4 linked regions of the Nothobranchius furzeri genome follow. The protein of the gene in region 2 interacts with the protein of the main gene of each other region in a biochemical or structural test. Links are inferred from orthologs where the notes say so. Each region holds a gene or a part of one and is shown on either strand. Other genes may lie near its edges.

Region 1 (3,997 bases), on a different chromosome or scaffold from region 2:
TACAGAAGTCTTGGGAAGCTGAAGGATTCCAGCACTGGATGAACCAAACAGGGTGAAGCTACTTTTAGCTACTGCTGCACACAGATGGAATCAGCTTCAAATGAAATGAACACTTTTATGGTTTATCAGCCTTTGAATGATCACTTCTTATGCTACACCTTCCGCACCGTAACTGCTCAGCCTTAACGAGGTCTGTTTTCTGATTCTTACATCTTATTTTGTTTGTATATTTTATTTCTAACTTTAACATCTGCTGTTTTATGTTGTCACATTGACTTTGATGTTTTATGTTCTCGCTGATCTTGCACCTGGAAGGCATGTTGAGTTGCTTCTGTGTGGGAAACGTTCCAAAGAAATAAAGCTGCCTTGCCGCCATTGGGTGATTAAATGTTAACCTAAAATAAGTTGAGATAAATAAGGAAGAACGATGGTCCATCAGCTCTGCAACTAATTAAATGTGTTTAATAGAGGAAATGTTTGTGGAATAGCACAGCAAGTAGCAGCTAACTCACCGCTAGCTGAATCGCCTGGGCTTGATTTTTCTCTTTCTGTGTTTAACTGTGGAATTATTTCTAATTTACTTGCAAAATCAGCTCCAAATGTTCCTATTTTATCTTGGTTTCCATTACTTACATGCAAGCGCGCACACATATGCACTTTTCCTGACTGAACTTTTACAACACGAGATCAAGCCCCCATCTGTCAGGCAATGCAAGAGTCCAGCCGGAGTGCTGTCGACGTCATGCTGCAGCCTCGCCACGGTGAACCCTGAACTTACATCATTTACTTATTTGTTCTAAAGTTCAGCGACTTTCGTAACAACTCAGAGGGACAGGGATGACCATTGATAGAAATTTTACTTAGCTTATATCAAACTATTTCATCTTAATTGCAACAACCGATTAAAGAAAAATGGAAATATTTCTGTGATGCAAAAATGTGCAAAAACAGTGTTGCATGTTTTGTGCTCTCACTTTGACTGTTTTTCTTGCAGCAATGTGAGTTAAACATCTCAAAGCTACAGGTTCTCACTCAGATCTAGCCCAGTTATCGGCTGATGGCAGGAGAGAACCGGTTACATAAAGACTGCGTTATGTCCGGCAGCGGATTAATGATTAGCTGAAGTCCTGCGACACACCGGGGTCATGCTCACACCTCCTGACACACTTCCCCCTCCTTCCTACTCTTCTCCCTCCTCTTTCAGGGACATCCCAGGGTATAAAAGGAGCAAACCTTCTCCAGGGAGGACACAATGGACCAAGAGTCCTCAACTTGACTGGGAACAGCCATCAGAGACACCTCAGCTGATGAGGCCAAGCTAACAGCTCTTTGCTCCAAACTACTGAAGGTAACATGAAATACTTTGTGTGTGGCAGCTCTTGTAGGAGAGGATTACGATGATGATGCTGAAATCTTCAGTTTGTCTAAAATCTTTTTTCTTTTTCCCTTCAAATTTTCAGACTTCCAGACTTCATCTCGTCTCTCTTAGTCTGTCGACTCTCTCGCTCTCCAGACTTTGTCACCATGCCTCCTCAGATCCAGTCCCAAAGCCAGAATGGTCCCAGGATCCTGCAGGGCAGCCTCAGTGCCTTGAGCCCCGCGGTCCGGGAGTTTGTGGAAGCCAACATGGTCCTGTGCCAGCCTGAGTCTGTCCACATCTGTGATGGCTCAGATCAGGAGAACCGAGCCATCCTGACCCAGCTAGAGGAACAGGGGATGATCAAGAAGCTCACCAAATACGAGAACTGGTAGGATGATTTATTTAAGTCAGTTTTGACGGATTTCACATTGGTAGCTTAGCTATAGCCATGGTCAGCACCTTTTTAGATAAAAAACAAACTCAGAAAGCAAAACTACTGACAAACCAGTAAGTCTGGCTGCTTCCGACACAAAATGTCATCTCTGACCTTTCTCCTCCTTCAGCTGGTTAGCTAGAACCGACCCAAGGGATGTGGCTCGCATTGAGAGCAGAACAGTGATTGTTACCCAGAACCAGAGGGACACAGTACCAACACCACTGGATGGAGGAGTCAGCCAACTGGGCCGTTGGATGTCTCCAGAGGAGTTTGACAAAGCCATGGGTCAACGCTTCCCCGGCTGCATGAAAGGTACCACAGAGATGCAGGTTTTGTTCTCCAGTAATGATCAAAAAGTAGAGAACATTTGTTTGTCATGATGTAAAGATCTATTTTTCCTGTCCCTGTCCTCAGGTCGCACCATGTATGTGATTCCCTTCAGCATGGGTCCAGTAGGTTCCCCCTTGTCTAAGATTGGTGTGGAGCTGACGGACTCCCCCTACGTCGTGGCCAGCATGAGGGTGATGACCCGAATGGGGAAGACAGTGCTATCCGCTCTGGGAAATGGAGAGTTTGTCCGCTGCCTGCACTCCGTTGGCTGTCCTCTACCTCTCAAAAGTACAAAATCAAAGCATCCTCACTAGAATCTCTGTAAGTTTTAGAGCATTTAAATAACTGCAGTTGTTATTTCAGAGCCCCTGGTAAACAACTGGCCCTGCAATCCTGAGCAGACACTGATTGCCCACATCCCAGACCGCAGACAGATTGTGTCGTTTGGCAGTGGTTATGGAGGAAACTCGCTGCTGGGAAAGAAGTGCTTCGCTCTCCGTATCGCCTCTCGCATCGCCAAAGAGGAAGGCTGGCTGGCTGAGCACATGCTGGTAAGAAAAGGCAACGCATTTTTATTTTATTTAACCATTTCACAGAACAATCGTCATTGTTATGGTCAAACTTAAACATTTCTGCTGCTCAGATCCTCGGTGTCACTAATCCTGCTGGGGAGAAGAAGTACATGGCGGCAGCCTTTCCCAGCGCCTGTGGGAAAACCAACCTGGCCATGCTCTGCCCAACGCTGCCTGGATGGAAGGTTGAGTGCGTAGGAGATGATATCGCTTGGATGAAGTTTGACAACCAAGGTGAGAAAAATACTTCACAGATAATGAAACATGAAAATTGCGAACAAAGAACAAAACAAACGTATTTCCCTTTTCTATTTTCTTAGGCAATTTACGTGCCATCAACCCTGAGAATGGCTTTTTTGGTGTTGCACCCGGCACATCCATCAAAACCAACCCCAATGCCATGGCGACCATTGTTAGGAACACCATCTTCACAAATGTTGCAGAGACCAGCGACGGCGGCGTGTACTGGGAGGGAATGGACCAAAAACTTCCTGAGGAAGTGACTCTCACGTCCTGGAAAAACAAGCCCTGGAATTTAGAAGATGGTGAGAACCTAGACCAGGGGACTAAAACTCAAAAATAAGCTTTTTTTAAGAAGAAAATAAGTTGATTGAATAATCTTCGCTTTCTCTGTTTGTAGGAGAACCTTGTGCTCATCCCAACTCTCGTTTCTGCACACCGGCCGGTCAGTGTCCCATTATTGATCCGCAGTGGGAATCCCCGGAGGGAGTCCCCATTGAGGCTATCATTTTTGGAGGCCGCAGACCAGAAGGTGAGAATAACCAGTCCGCATTCTTAATCACAGCTGGACTTAAATGAAATAAAGATGTAATCAATGAAACTCTGTAAATCCTGTTTTCCTTTGTTCCCTTTAGGTGTCCCTCTGGTGTATGAAGCCTTCAGCTGGCAGCATGGTGTGTTTGTTGGAGCAGCCATGAGGTCAGAGGCCACCGCAGCAGCCGAACACAAAGGTCGGTGTCTAAACAACCATCTCTTTGTTAGTGTTTGTTATTTTCTGTTGGATCTGAAACTTGAAACTGACTTCATCTTTTTGTACTTTTTTATCCAGGCAAGGTAATCATGCACGACCCCTTTGCCATGCGCCCTTTCTTTGGCTACAACTTTGGCCAGTACCTTTCCCACTGGCTGAGCATGGCCGACCGTCCTGGTGCCAAGCTCCCCAAGATTTTCCACGTCAACTGGTTCCGCAAGTCTCCGACAGCTGGCTTCCTCTGGCCCGGTTTTGGGGACAATATCCGCGTCCTGGACTGGATGTTCAGACGAGTGAACGGTGAGACC
Region 2 (3,500 bases):
AGGACAAACGGCATTCTCATGTTTAAAAGTCATTTTGATTGATAACATTTGGGAAAAAAATGAGGTTCTGCTGAGAGGTCTTCTTCCAGTTTTAGAGAGAACCACCAGCGACCTCACCTGAATGACGGAAGAGGAGGACCGTCACTCTCAGTGAGACCAATCTCAGCGAGGAGACTGCTCTTCAGCTGGGCAGCGAGGTCATGAGGAGAAGGTCCTGGTTTAGAAGCCTCCATCTCCTGTTCACCCAATAACTGGTTGTCACTGCTCCGCTGGCCAGTTTCCATGCTCATGACATTTTTCAGGTTGGCTGTGTAGGACATCTTTGTGGGCAGGATCTGTCCACCAGGGATAGTGTTATTTATTAGCAAGAAGAAAACAGTCACACTGAAATAATGATGATGGGATTATGACTATCAGGTTCCAGTAAACACATTTAAAACAAACATCTAGGAGATAATCTTGTGTTGTTTTAAGCATTTGGTTTTAAATTGCTTCGCATAGAGCTCAGCTGTTTCTCTGACGGTGGGTGGTGTACCTGAGAGGAGGAGAGTAGAGAGGAGCCCATGTTTACCTCCAGGCAGTTCCTGTCCATGCTGGTCTCAGCCAGGCCTTTGGTCGTCATGTAGGAGGAGGAGTATAAGCCCTGAGAGGGACGCCCAAACAGGTCCTCCTTTCTGGCGTTAGGCTGTTAGACAGGAGGCAACATGGACTTTTTAATACATAAATGCAAAAACCCAAACAAACAAACATGTCCCGTGTAGCTGGTGAAGCATGTCACAGAACAGCCACATGTCAGACCTGCAGGAGATGGGGCTGGTCTGCCAGTGGAATGGCCTCCGCAAGAGGAACATCAAAGGGGTTGGGTGGGATGCAGCCCAGGAAGGTCATGGAGTCCGAGCGGCGGAAGAAGGGATGGTTCTGACCCGTTTCAGCTGGAACTGGGTCATCGTCTTTGTCTTGCAGCGTTGAACCTGTGTTGAAAGAAAAACTTTTCAAACAAAGTTTAAAATACCAGCGTCTGTGTACCGATGTAGTCAACCAAGCTGCTGTACTTTGGTTAGTGTCTTCATCGTTTTCGTGCTCAGAATCCTCGTTGTCCAGGCCCAGTTCCAATATTTCTCTATTCCTAGTGAAAAAATAAATAAATAATTCTACTTAAGCAATGAGCCGTTTAGTTAGCAACCAATACTTGTCTGGTGATGCAACTTTTAAACACACACCTCTTTCTCTCCATCTGAGGGGTGTCCAGGGTGGTTTGCTGGTTCATAGCCTTAATCCAGTAGATCAGAGCCTGGAACACGTAGGCTACGTGTTTTAGCGAGCACACATCCAGGACAGGAAGAACATCCGAGTGCTCATCGTTGTGGGAGCGCATCAGTGACAGCGCATAGTTCAGGAAGTCGCCCCGTGCTGACATCATGCCTTGACGGGCGGTCAGCAACGTTGCTGCTCTCCTGAAGGAAAGCAGATGATTGTGAACCAAACGACTGCATGGGTTGACTTCTGGTCTGTGTTTTCATTTGATCAAGTTGTAAACAAATAAACTGAGTCAGTCATTATGTTCCAATGAAGACGAAGAAAAACTATACCTGCGTCCTTCCAGAGTGCGGAGGCTGGCCTCCTCCCGAGCGGTCATGCGATCTCTGCGAGCTGAGTGCTGAGAGGCGTGAAGTGGGTGACTGGGGTGACCCGGGTCTCCAGCTGACGACAAAGCCGAGCCATATCGCAGCTGAGCCTCAGTAGAATCCATGATGGACACCATCCAATTCCAGGTGGGAATCAGCTTTTCTTCCACGTAGTTCTGGTAGACATGATAATCATTACACACTGGTCATAGTATGGACCCTTTTTTATCGTTCATAGGAACTGTCCTAACTTCCTCCCTACAAATGAAATTTAGAACGTTCAGACGAACGGTCAAAATCCTGATTTATTTAACATACGGTGGGCTCTCGTACGCACGTTCCTCCGCACTCATCTGATGATAAATCCTACCTGTGCTGCCCAGTTGCTCATGTCTGTTCTCGTCATTTACATACAGCAACACCTTTAAGTAACCATGTTTGGTCCACAGCTTGTGTATTTCCCGAAAAAAAAAAAAACTTTATTTACAGTGAGACTGAGACAACGGCTGCCAAAGTGCAAAAGAAACAAACAAGTTGCAGAGGTTAAACGCAGTTGAGACAGAGGAGAGGTTCCCGTCAGGAATAAATAAAAAGCTGAGTAACGGGTTGCATTTCCATTTAAGGAGGCATTCTGCATGGTTAGTTTTATTAGGAAATGCCCGAGAGTGCAGCCTCTTCTCAGCCATCATTCAGTCTGGTTACCTGGACGAGTGTACAATCGGGGAGCAGAGGAGCTCTGGAGGTTCTCGTAGTTGTAAAATGGAATATGGGATTTGTGCGGTTTATCTGTCGCTCGGGTCCCAGATAACTCCAGAATTTATTTATTTCATTGTAACCTGCAAGTTATTGCGGTTTACTTTTATTTGTTAAGAACAGAAACATAAAAAAATAATAAGTGTGTGCACATGCACGTGTCTGCACTCATGGGGTGGGGGACAAACATTTTTTTGACCACTGCATTAACTCATAAAGTCTGAGGTTAACATTATTAAAGAGGTTTTTTTTTAATGATTGTGATATTCTGACAGACCTATCCAACGATAATCACCTGCAGGCTAACAGCATCTTGGTAGGAGAGCTTTACAGCAGCAGGATACTGTGAGTAGACTAGATGGTTATACTTGGGAATCAGACTCATGAGGTCTGATATCTGCCTGATGACGATGCTGTAGGCACGAGCCAGGCTACTGGCAGACGTCAGGTAACTGCTGGAGTTACTGGCTTCCAGAGCTGCCGCAGCTGCTGCTGCACTGGAGCTGATGGCGTTGGAGCGGCGCAGGTTTGTAGGGTCGATGTAGATCAAACCGGTGGAGCTTGCTGTTTAAGAGGCAAAATAAAATGATTATAGACAACATTTGTAATTCAACGCCCTACAGACTGTAGACTTTTAAATGCAGACAGGTGCTGACTGACCAGCTGGAGCTGAAGAGCTAGAGGGAGCGCTTCCACTTGTCCTTTGGCTGGGTGTGTTTCTAACAGCCCACTGCATGGAGCGAGGAGCTTGGGCTGCAGTGTTAGCATGTGAGGCGCTAGTGGTACGTTCCAGAGGTTCATCTAAGAGAAACGTTTCTTGGTCAACATCATCACTCTGACTGCTACTGCTGTCCGAGTCACTGGAGTCGTTGGACTGGGAGTCGTCCTCTGAAAAGAAGGCAGGAACACTGCTGGCACCTTCAATACAGGAAGAGAAGAAACAAAACAATAAACACAAAAATGCTTTAATAGCTTTGTTAACCTTTAATTCCACTTTGGTTTTCTATTCAAACGTACAGAATCATTGATGCACGTTAGTGAATCACACAATAACTTATCGGAGCACTAAGAGAAAGCAGTAAGAAATCAAGTCAAATCAGCTCCATTCCCTGTTGAGACCAA
Region 3 (4,120 bases), on a different chromosome or scaffold from region 2:
TAAAATGTTTTGTCGACATTTTAGAGATGTTCCACAAAGTTTATGAACATGATGTCATCACATGACAGCGCCGAGAGAAGAAATGGCAGCTCGCGTACCAGCTGACCGGGAGTCTTAAAAAAACCACAACTTCTGGTGAACTCTTATGAGGTCATTTGTGCAAACAAAAGAGGACAGCGAAAGCCGCCCGCCCCGTCGGCACGGCAGAGCAGCGAGCCGTAGCTGAAGAGGCAGATTTCTGTCTGCAGCCGTCATTAAAAGGCACGACTACAGGCCTTTCTGGTGGAAATAAGCAGCCAGCCTTCCCCAGATGTCACGACTAGCCCAAAGGTAACCGGCCGTCTGCCACAAGCGAGTTTTCAGCAGTTGGGGGCTGAAGCCGAAAAAGGTAAACGTGCAGGTTTTACAGGTGAAAAATCTTTTTATAAGCTTGTTTTTTTATTAAAGTTGTTAATATTAGGTGTGTTATGTTGTTAGTGTTTGTTATTGAGTTTCTGAACGGTGAAGGTCCAAACCAACAGTTTGAAGGCTTACGTCATCATTTTTAAATTAGTCCCAGTAATACCGCACACCGTGGTAAAATGTGGAGGAAGCTAGGTGGGATTAAAATGTGAGCACCGCCCACGTCTAGATGTTATCAGTGACATTTTACCATACGGCTGACCAGGACCTCTACATATCAGCATCAGCAAAAGAAAAACCAATTTGTCAATCTCTAATCAGCAACCACTCCATTCAGAGGCTGCACCAAATCCTCTGGGTTGGACCAGAACAGCAGAAATGTGGTCAACTGGATCAGAACTCTGGAGTATTGTTTCAAGAGCTGGGGTCTAAGAGCTCTGGTCCAAAGAGGAAAAGGAACATCCAGGCTGTCAGCATCAGGACCAAAAGCCCGTTCCTGGTTCAGAAACAAAATAAGACCCGCGAGTCTTTATCATCAGAAGTTAAAGAGGATGGCTACTGATGAAGAGCCTGTTGGAAAAGGTAGGTTTTAAGCTTGCGCTTGAACAAAGATAACTCAAAAGTCAAACTCAGGTCATCAGGGAGTTTGTTCCAGACTGCTGGAGTCACGACTGAAAAAGAGCGGTCACCCCAGTGCTTGTATCGAGGTCGAGGGACTGAGTTAGTGGACCGTGTTAGCTGACGTAAGGACAAGGAGTCAGAGAGATAGGCAGGACCGAGGCCATGGATGCTCGTGAACATTATGAATTTGAATTGTGTTCTGAAAAATACAGGAAGCCAGTGCAGTTCTAAGCGAATGGGAGTAATATGGCTGCCCCAAGGTGTGTTAGTGAGGAGACGGGCTGCGGTATTTTGGGCTAGCTGCAGACGAGCGATGGAGGACTTGGATAGGGCATTGCAGTAACCGATGTGCGAGCTTATAAGGGCATGACTGACTTTTTCCAGGTCCTAAGTTGATAAAAACTTGACTTGACCGCCGCATTGATCTGTTTGTCGAAATTCATGTGTTCATCGAAGATGACACTGAGGTTTCAAACATGTTGCTTACGTCTAATGGCCTGCTGATCGAGGTCAGTAGAGACCTGATGGTGTAAAAAAAAATCCACATTCTAGAAAAGTGCTGATCCAGATTCAGGACCACAGGTCTGGATCTGGATGCTGGGAGGCACTAAAACCACATCTGGACTGACTGTTGCTGCTGCCCCCACCTGCACATCCAGCCCTCATAAATCCCCACCCCTATTACCTGTTGTGTGACTACAGCATCCCAGTCGTTGCTATGGTTACCTGAAGCCTTTGGGAAGCGGGTCAGACTTTGACCTGACCGTTGTGGTGAAAACAGTGTAGTACTGGTGTTGTACCGCTACAGCGGCGTTTCCTTTATGATTACACTTTTGTTAATCACGACACTGCTGACACGGTGGGGTCTCTTTATGGAGTTAAATGTTGTGTAAAAGCCTTCAAACCCTCCAGAACCCTCCCGTTTAGCCTCGTTAGCATCCCCGTTAGCCTGTTAGCTCCCTACCTGCTCCACCGTGGCCGGGTCCATGAACTGCAACCGGGCGGCGTTCTCGTACTCGTCCTCGCTGTTGTTCCCTGCTCCTTCCTCCGTATCCTGACTGGACCCTACACCTCCGGGTCCGGTCACCCCCGGCTGGCCTCCCCCGGCCAGAGCAGCGACCACCCCACCGGAGCAGGTTCCTGCCTGCCGCCGCCTCTTGCTCAGCCCGGGCCCGGAGCAGCAACCGCCTATCGACCCGCCGCATCCAACGACACCGGCAGGCACAACAAGCTCCCCGCGGGAGCCGGTAACCATTCCACCGCTACCGTCTCTGCCATCTCCCGGCCCTACCGGGGACACGGAGCCAACGGGCGGCGGAGAGGCCTGCTGCGGCCGGGAGCTCGCCTCGATGCTCCGCCTGTCCTCTCTGGCGGAGGGGGGAGCAGTCTGGTAAGACCACGGCGGAGGGGAGGCTCTGGGTCGGGCTCCGGTCCGCCCAGCGTGCGGGTGTGGGTGTTGGTGAGGGTCGGAGCTGCTCCGACGGTCGCTGTCATCGGCGTGGTCCGAGACGCCGACACCAGAGCTGGGCTTCTTCTTGGGGAGGATCGTCATGGTGGAGCAGGGAGGCGGTCAGAGGGTGACGAGTCCCCGTTCTGGATAAAACTAGTCGGTCTATTCACCTTCTGAACGAGCGGTTCGGCTCCAGTCACCGAGTTAAGACCCTTAACGGACCGAAACCGACCAAAGAAACAACAATTCTGTTTACATTCGACGGTGGAGTTGAACAAAAACAAAAAGCGTCTCCCTCTTCCCGTTCTCCAAAACATCAACACAGCCTGACTGGGCGCTGTGACGTAACATCCGGCCGGCAGCGTCATGACGTAAACCTGACCTTTAACACACAGAATCACTATTTTTATTATTAATCATTTATTCTATAAAACTCTACAAAACATTTTTGTTTTAATTCTTATCGCTTTTCAGCTTTTTGTGTAAAATTACGAAACAAACAAAACAAAAAAACAATAAAAACTGATGCTGCGAATCATTTAAAGAGCAACTCACCCCCCAAATAAACTTTTGCTTAGTCAACCCCTACCAGAGTCTAACTCCACTCTCACTTCATGTTTGAAAAATGCAACAAATGCTGTTGCCTGGCAGACCGAGAAGGCGGAGCTGCTAACAAATACACACACACACACAGGCTCACGACAGCATTGTGACATCATAATGTACCAGTTTACATCATAGCATACCTCTTCGCCAATAGCGGTGGCAGATTTAAATTGAAATACAGTGCAGAGTTTTTACCTGACAACGGCACAACACTGCCAGTTTTAGGCAGAATATTTAAATTTTAACTAAGATGCACTAAAGTGCCAAATTATTGACGACACGTGTCTGCAGCACGATTAGACACTCGTTTATTTAGTTTATCAGCAAAAAAAAAGTTTATTTGGGGGGGTGACTTGCTCTTTAAGCAACAACAGAATGCTGTTATTTACACTTGATTAAAAGTCATTTGTTTTGCTCTTTGTGATGATTTTTCTTTCAGTGATAAGTAGGGCCAGCAGTAGCTCAAGAGGTTGGGTTGGTTGTCCAGTAATCAGAAGGTTGCAGGTCCGATCCCGGCTCCCACCAGAGAATCCTGCTGTTGTGTCCTTGGGCAAGAAAATTACCCCCCACCCCCCCCAACCCCACCCCGCCCGCCCCCTGGTGGCGGTCGGAAGGACCGGTGACACCTGGGTTTGGCAGCCTCGCCTCCGTCAGTGTGCCCCAGGGCAGCTGTGGCTATGTTGTAGCTCATCACCACCAGTGTGTGAACGGATGAATGATACACTGACACTGAAAGGCGCTATAAAAGTGCAGTTCAAGTCAAAGTTTTGAATGAGAAAATAATCACCCCCTCTGAAGGACTACAATCGTATTGCTCTGTGAATAACGCCAGCTGTTGCTGGAGCTGACATCAGACGGACCATGGGTGGCAATCCACATTTAAAAGATTTCAGGGAAAGAGTTGTGGACAGACTACGGAAAATTTCAATCTCAAGGAGCAGCACAGTAAAGTCTCCAATAAAGAAGGGGACAGTGTTTGGTGCAACTGGGACCCTCCCTTGTTCTGTGTGGAAGTGCAAGGAGGAAACTGATGTTCTACAG
Region 4 (4,173 bases), on a different chromosome or scaffold from region 2:
CTCTCTGAGGTGACTGACACCCAGACACTTTGGACACAAGTCGTGGCCGTCCTCCACCTGGAGGGGAGCCCCGCATGACGTAAACGCCAACATCCCTACCGATGTGGGAGACGCCAGCGACTACACAGAAACTGAGCGAGGACTTCAAAGAAAACTGAAGAACGCGATTCAGTCTTGGAGTTGTTAAACAACACACAATGTGTGTGTCGGCTGGATAATCTGAGCGTGACACCTCCACGGTCAGAACGTCCAGCCCCAATTACCTGTAGCGCTCGCCGGCCGCAACCCCTCCCCTTTCCACAGGGGAAAACAGCGACCGCCAGCGAGCCCTATCCGAGCGGCGGTCCGAATGGCGCCGGTGTTCTGGGAATTTCTCCTACCCCGTAAACCGTCCTACCCGTTGTTCCTGAGCATGCGCGCGCATGCGCACATCACAAAAAGGAAATGCTACTCCATTGTCATATTTGCAGGAAAATAGATAAGTAGTAAGTATTAGTACTTTTTATTGACGTTGATACTTGATTTTTTTTGGGTTAGAGTTAGGGTTATGGTTTGTGTCATGTAAAACACCGTAAAATTAGCCTACGGGTAGGACGTTTTGCCAAAGTAGAACGGTTTCTCAGAACACCGGCCGCACCGCCCGCTCTCTGTAACAATCGACAGATAACCGCGTCAATCCACCGCCCCAGAGGGCTCCCCTGAGCACTCCGACCACCCGGTCTCGGGAAGGTTGACACCAAGTAGTACGTGTACTCACCTCTAGACCGACAAGGTCCGAATCACGGACTGATGGAGCGACTGACCCGCGAAGCACGCCAGGTCAACAGCGAGAAGATCAAAGAGACCCGAACGTAGCTATCGGCGCGTAATTTATAGACTCGCGACTAGGTTTACATTAGTACTCGACCTGCGCAGAGCGCGAGGAGATACATCCACTGTTTACTGCCACTGGCAGTCAGGAGGGAATTAAACAGAACTCCTGTTCTTAAATCTCTGCATGAGTTACAAGTAAACTACAGAATCAATTTCAAAGTGCTTCTACTAGTTTATAAATCACTCAATGGCATGGAGCCAAAATACACGTTAGATTTCCTTATAGTGTGCCCAGCAGTGCTCTGAGATCCTTAGGAAGCAGTCAGTTGATAGTACCCCAGGTCAGAACCAAACAGGGTGAAGCTGCTTTTAGCTACTATGCTGTCCCAACTCTAGTAACTTTTAAATCAAAATTGAAAACTTTCGTTCATCAGCCTTTGAATGACCGTCTCTTATGCTGCACCTTGTGCACTGTAACTGCTCCCCCTTTAACTTAGCCTTTTATCTGATTCTTAAATCTGAATTTAATTTGTGCATTTAATTTATATAAATTTATTTGTGTATTTTAATTATGCTGTTATGTTGATTTTGCACCTGGAAAGCACATTGAATTACCTCTGTTTATGAAATGTGCAATACAAATTAAGCTGCCTTGCCCTAAATGCAACAAAACCTTAAGTCTTATCAATAATTTAGTAAGTAGTTTCAGTCATACTTATGACTGGGCCTGTAGCAGACTCCAGCAGCCCAATCGAAGTCCAGTTGTAATAGTTGTCTCTCAAGCAGCCCCACCCCATCAGAGGTAAATAAACACCAAAGGATCTGTGACACACAGAGTAATCATCCCTAGAAGCAGCTCAGAGTTCTTCGCAGCAGATGTTTAAATGGGTCTTTTCTATGCTTTAACAAGAGACAGTAGAATATTTGTGGCTCTGATGGACCTGCTTTCACCAGTTTAACCAAGTGGTTTTAAAAAGCGTTGTCAGGAACCATAAGAAGATAAATAAGTGAATATTTTCGACAACTATAGCCAGAAGTATCCCGATGACCGAGAGCTTTCTCTCAAGAAAAACAACATAATGTCTAACATCTAACACTACTATCTTGAGTTCTATTCCTCTGTGAGAACTTAATCTGTCTTCCTTACTCCAGACCTCTGATCAGTCGTGACATCTGTGCCTAAAAGACACAATAAATCTTTTTGTTTAATTTATGTTTTGTTGAACAAACACACAACGTCAGAGCTGAGCTGACCCGATTCAGATCTGACTGGGTTTCCATGAAGAAAGGCAGAACCTTAAGAGCCATACGCTGATCCAGTATACATGTCCTTCTGACAGAACCATGACCAGAACCACGCATTTAGTACTAATGGTTCTGGGTGACTTTGAGGGGAGCTTTCGTGTAATTCTCCAGAATGTGTCCCGTACAATAAGCGAGTTTTTATAGAGCCAGGTTCTGAACCTGGACCACGGTTTGAGTAAAGAATCTGGTTTTTCAGGCTCCTCACCTGCTGATTGAACTCCTCTTCGTTCTCCATCCACATGTACTCCGCAAACGGGTTCTCCTCGGTACCGAACTGGCTGCTAAGGATCACCTCTCCGGTCATTGTCATGCTGGGGGAGGTTGAGGTGTTGTTGATGCTCGGGTCCTTCATGTCCTCTTGATTCGGTTCTGTGGCTCTGTGGGACGACGAGAGGGGAGGTGACCGTTAAACGAGTAGAAATCGGCGGTCAGACGGGCTGTGAAGGCCGCTGAATTACACAGCATGAAACACAACACAAACCGCGACAGAACACACAGACACAAACGCACACGTATGTAGTGACGCAAACTATTTTATTTTTAACTCTTCAAATACCTGTTGAGCGGATTAATTCGACGTCAAAATGTCTAATAGCTCAAGTTCAGTCAAAGCAAAAACTCTTCTGTAATGGCCGCACTGCAAATGTTTGTTTACATCTGCTGCGTCACTTCGAGCTCCACCATGATTGGCTTAAGGACTGTGGCGCATTCGCGGTCCTCACAATCAATTAACGGACTTTATTATTCTATTTTATGTGAAACTTCACATTTAGATAGAACACATTAACAAAATATGAAAATTATTTTTCACACCCTTTCATTATATAAGTGTTTCATTGTTGAATTAACTGAAGGGCTGTAGTAATTTCAAGCCGACATATTTTGTTACAAGATTTTGATTTTTAACTGAACACTTTAATAAAAATAATAAATATCAAGGAGTACAGAATGAACATTTGAATTTGAATTTGTAGTCAATTTGAGTATGTACAGTCTATGGAGTCAACTCATGATTCAGCTTAAACGTATGCTTCATGTAATTACACAATTAGTAAAAATAAAAGAAAACCATTCAACAGCCACCCATTAGTGAAACAATTTAGATTTATTATCTAATTAACACTTCAAAGAATACAATAGAGGGTTTTATAGATTAAAAAACACTCAAAACCATAGGCCTTTCTATTTTAATTTCTAAATTACCCACACATGGCATGAGAGGAGTACTCTTAAAATAGTTAAAGAGCAAGTCACCCCCTACAACAAACTTACTCCAATCTCACTTCATGTTTGAAAAATGCAACAAATACTGTTGCCTGGCAGACCGAGAGGGTCACAAACAGGCTTACAACAGCATTGTGACATCACAATGCACCAGCTAACGTCATTGTGTACCTCTTAGCCAATAGGTAGATTTAAATTCAAATGTAGTGCAGAGTTTTTGCCTGAAGATGGCGCAACACTGACAGTTTTAGGCAAAATATTTAATTTTAACTAAGATGCACTAAAGTGCCAAAATATTGACAACGCATGTCTACAGCATGTTTAGACACTCATTTATATGGTTTATCAGCAAAAATTTGATTTGGGGGTGACTTACTCTTTAAGTAGTTATTTAGATAACAGACATGTGTGTGTGTGCAGTGTGCTGGTAAGATATCTGATTGCATTGAAGATTTAATGTGGAGTCCCACAAGGGTTATTGTTGGGACCTAAACTTTTTGGTTTGTATATTAATGACATTGTCAATGTGTCATAGTTGTTACAGTTTGTTTTTGCTGATAACACAAAAAGCCTGTCGTACAGAAAAGAACTGTACGAATTATACACAAAGTAAATCTAAGAGATCACAATAATTTATTTATCAGATCACGTATTATGAAACTTAAAAGTTTAGTTGAGTCAAGCACATTACTAGTTATGTACAAAGCAAAAAGTCAAGTACGTTGATGAGTTTGCAGTAGTTGTTTGTTTTTAGTTCTGAGGATCTGGAGGCTAGAAGAAATTTTCATTTTAAACATCATTTTGCAAAGACTACTTTATAACAGAGGTGTA

What was found.
Region 1: the proteins of ubr5 (region 2) and pck1 form a complex in vitro, tested with the Homo sapiens proteins (2 studies listed by BioGRID, with this or other methods). The link is inferred for Nothobranchius furzeri from reciprocal best matches to the Homo sapiens genes UBR5 and PCK1.
Region 3: the proteins of ubr5 (region 2) and otud5a form a complex in vitro, tested with the Homo sapiens proteins (2 studies listed by BioGRID, with this or other methods). The link is inferred for Nothobranchius furzeri from reciprocal best matches to the Homo sapiens genes UBR5 and OTUD5.
Region 4: the proteins of ubr5 (region 2) and polyadenylate-binding protein-interacting protein 2 form a complex in vitro, tested with the Homo sapiens proteins (2 studies listed by BioGRID and IntAct, with this or other methods). The link is inferred for Nothobranchius furzeri from reciprocal best matches to the Homo sapiens genes UBR5 and PAIP2.

The regions. Positions count from the first base shown.
Region 1 is NC_091743.1:74,246,770-74,250,766, reverse strand, and holds the start of pck1 (phosphoenolpyruvate carboxykinase, cytosolic [GTP]), read left to right. Parts: upstream 1-1,197; 5' UTR 1,198-1,348; intron 1,349-1,460; 5' UTR 1,461-1,524; coding exon 1,525-1,748; intron 1,749-1,923; coding exon 1,924-2,108; intron 2,109-2,210; coding exon 2,211-2,414; intron 2,415-2,489; coding exon 2,490-2,677; intron 2,678-2,769; coding exon 2,770-2,932; intron 2,933-3,018; coding exon 3,019-3,243; intron 3,244-3,338; coding exon 3,339-3,470; intron 3,471-3,573; coding exon 3,574-3,669; intron 3,670-3,767; coding exon 3,768-3,997. UniProt on the Homo sapiens protein: Cytosolic phosphoenolpyruvate carboxykinase that catalyzes the reversible decarboxylation and phosphorylation of oxaloacetate (OAA) and acts as the rate-limiting enzyme in gluconeogenesis.
Region 2 is NC_091745.1:50,575,297-50,578,796, forward strand, and holds part of ubr5 (E3 ubiquitin-protein ligase UBR5), read right to left. Parts: intron 3,297-3,500; coding exon 3,039-3,296; intron 2,943-3,038; coding exon 2,674-2,942; intron 1,802-2,673; coding exon 1,590-1,801; intron 1,455-1,589; coding exon 1,221-1,454; intron 1,127-1,220; coding exon 1,053-1,126; intron 972-1,052; coding exon 799-971; intron 686-798; coding exon 536-685; intron 336-535; coding exon 118-335; intron 1-117. UniProt on the Homo sapiens protein: E3 ubiquitin-protein ligase involved in different protein quality control pathways in the cytoplasm and nucleus. Mainly acts as a ubiquitin chain elongator that extends pre-ubiquitinated substrates.
Region 3 is NC_091755.1:47,032,962-47,037,081, reverse strand, and holds the start of otud5a (OTU domain-containing protein 5-A), read right to left. Parts: upstream 2,801-4,120; 5' UTR 2,576-2,800; coding exon 1,988-2,575; intron 1-1,987. UniProt on the Homo sapiens protein: Deubiquitinating enzyme that functions as a negative regulator of the innate immune system. Has peptidase activity towards 'Lys-48'- and 'Lys-63'-linked polyubiquitin chains. Can also cleave 'Lys-11'-linked ubiquitin chains (in vitro).
Region 4 is NC_091741.1:64,864,160-64,868,332, forward strand, and holds the start of polyadenylate-binding protein-interacting protein 2, read right to left. Parts: upstream 2,801-4,173; 5' UTR 2,675-2,800; intron 2,496-2,674; 5' UTR 2,471-2,495; coding exon 2,324-2,470; intron 1-2,323. UniProt on the Homo sapiens protein: Acts as a repressor in the regulation of translation initiation of poly(A)-containing mRNAs. Its inhibitory activity on translation is mediated via its action on PABPC1.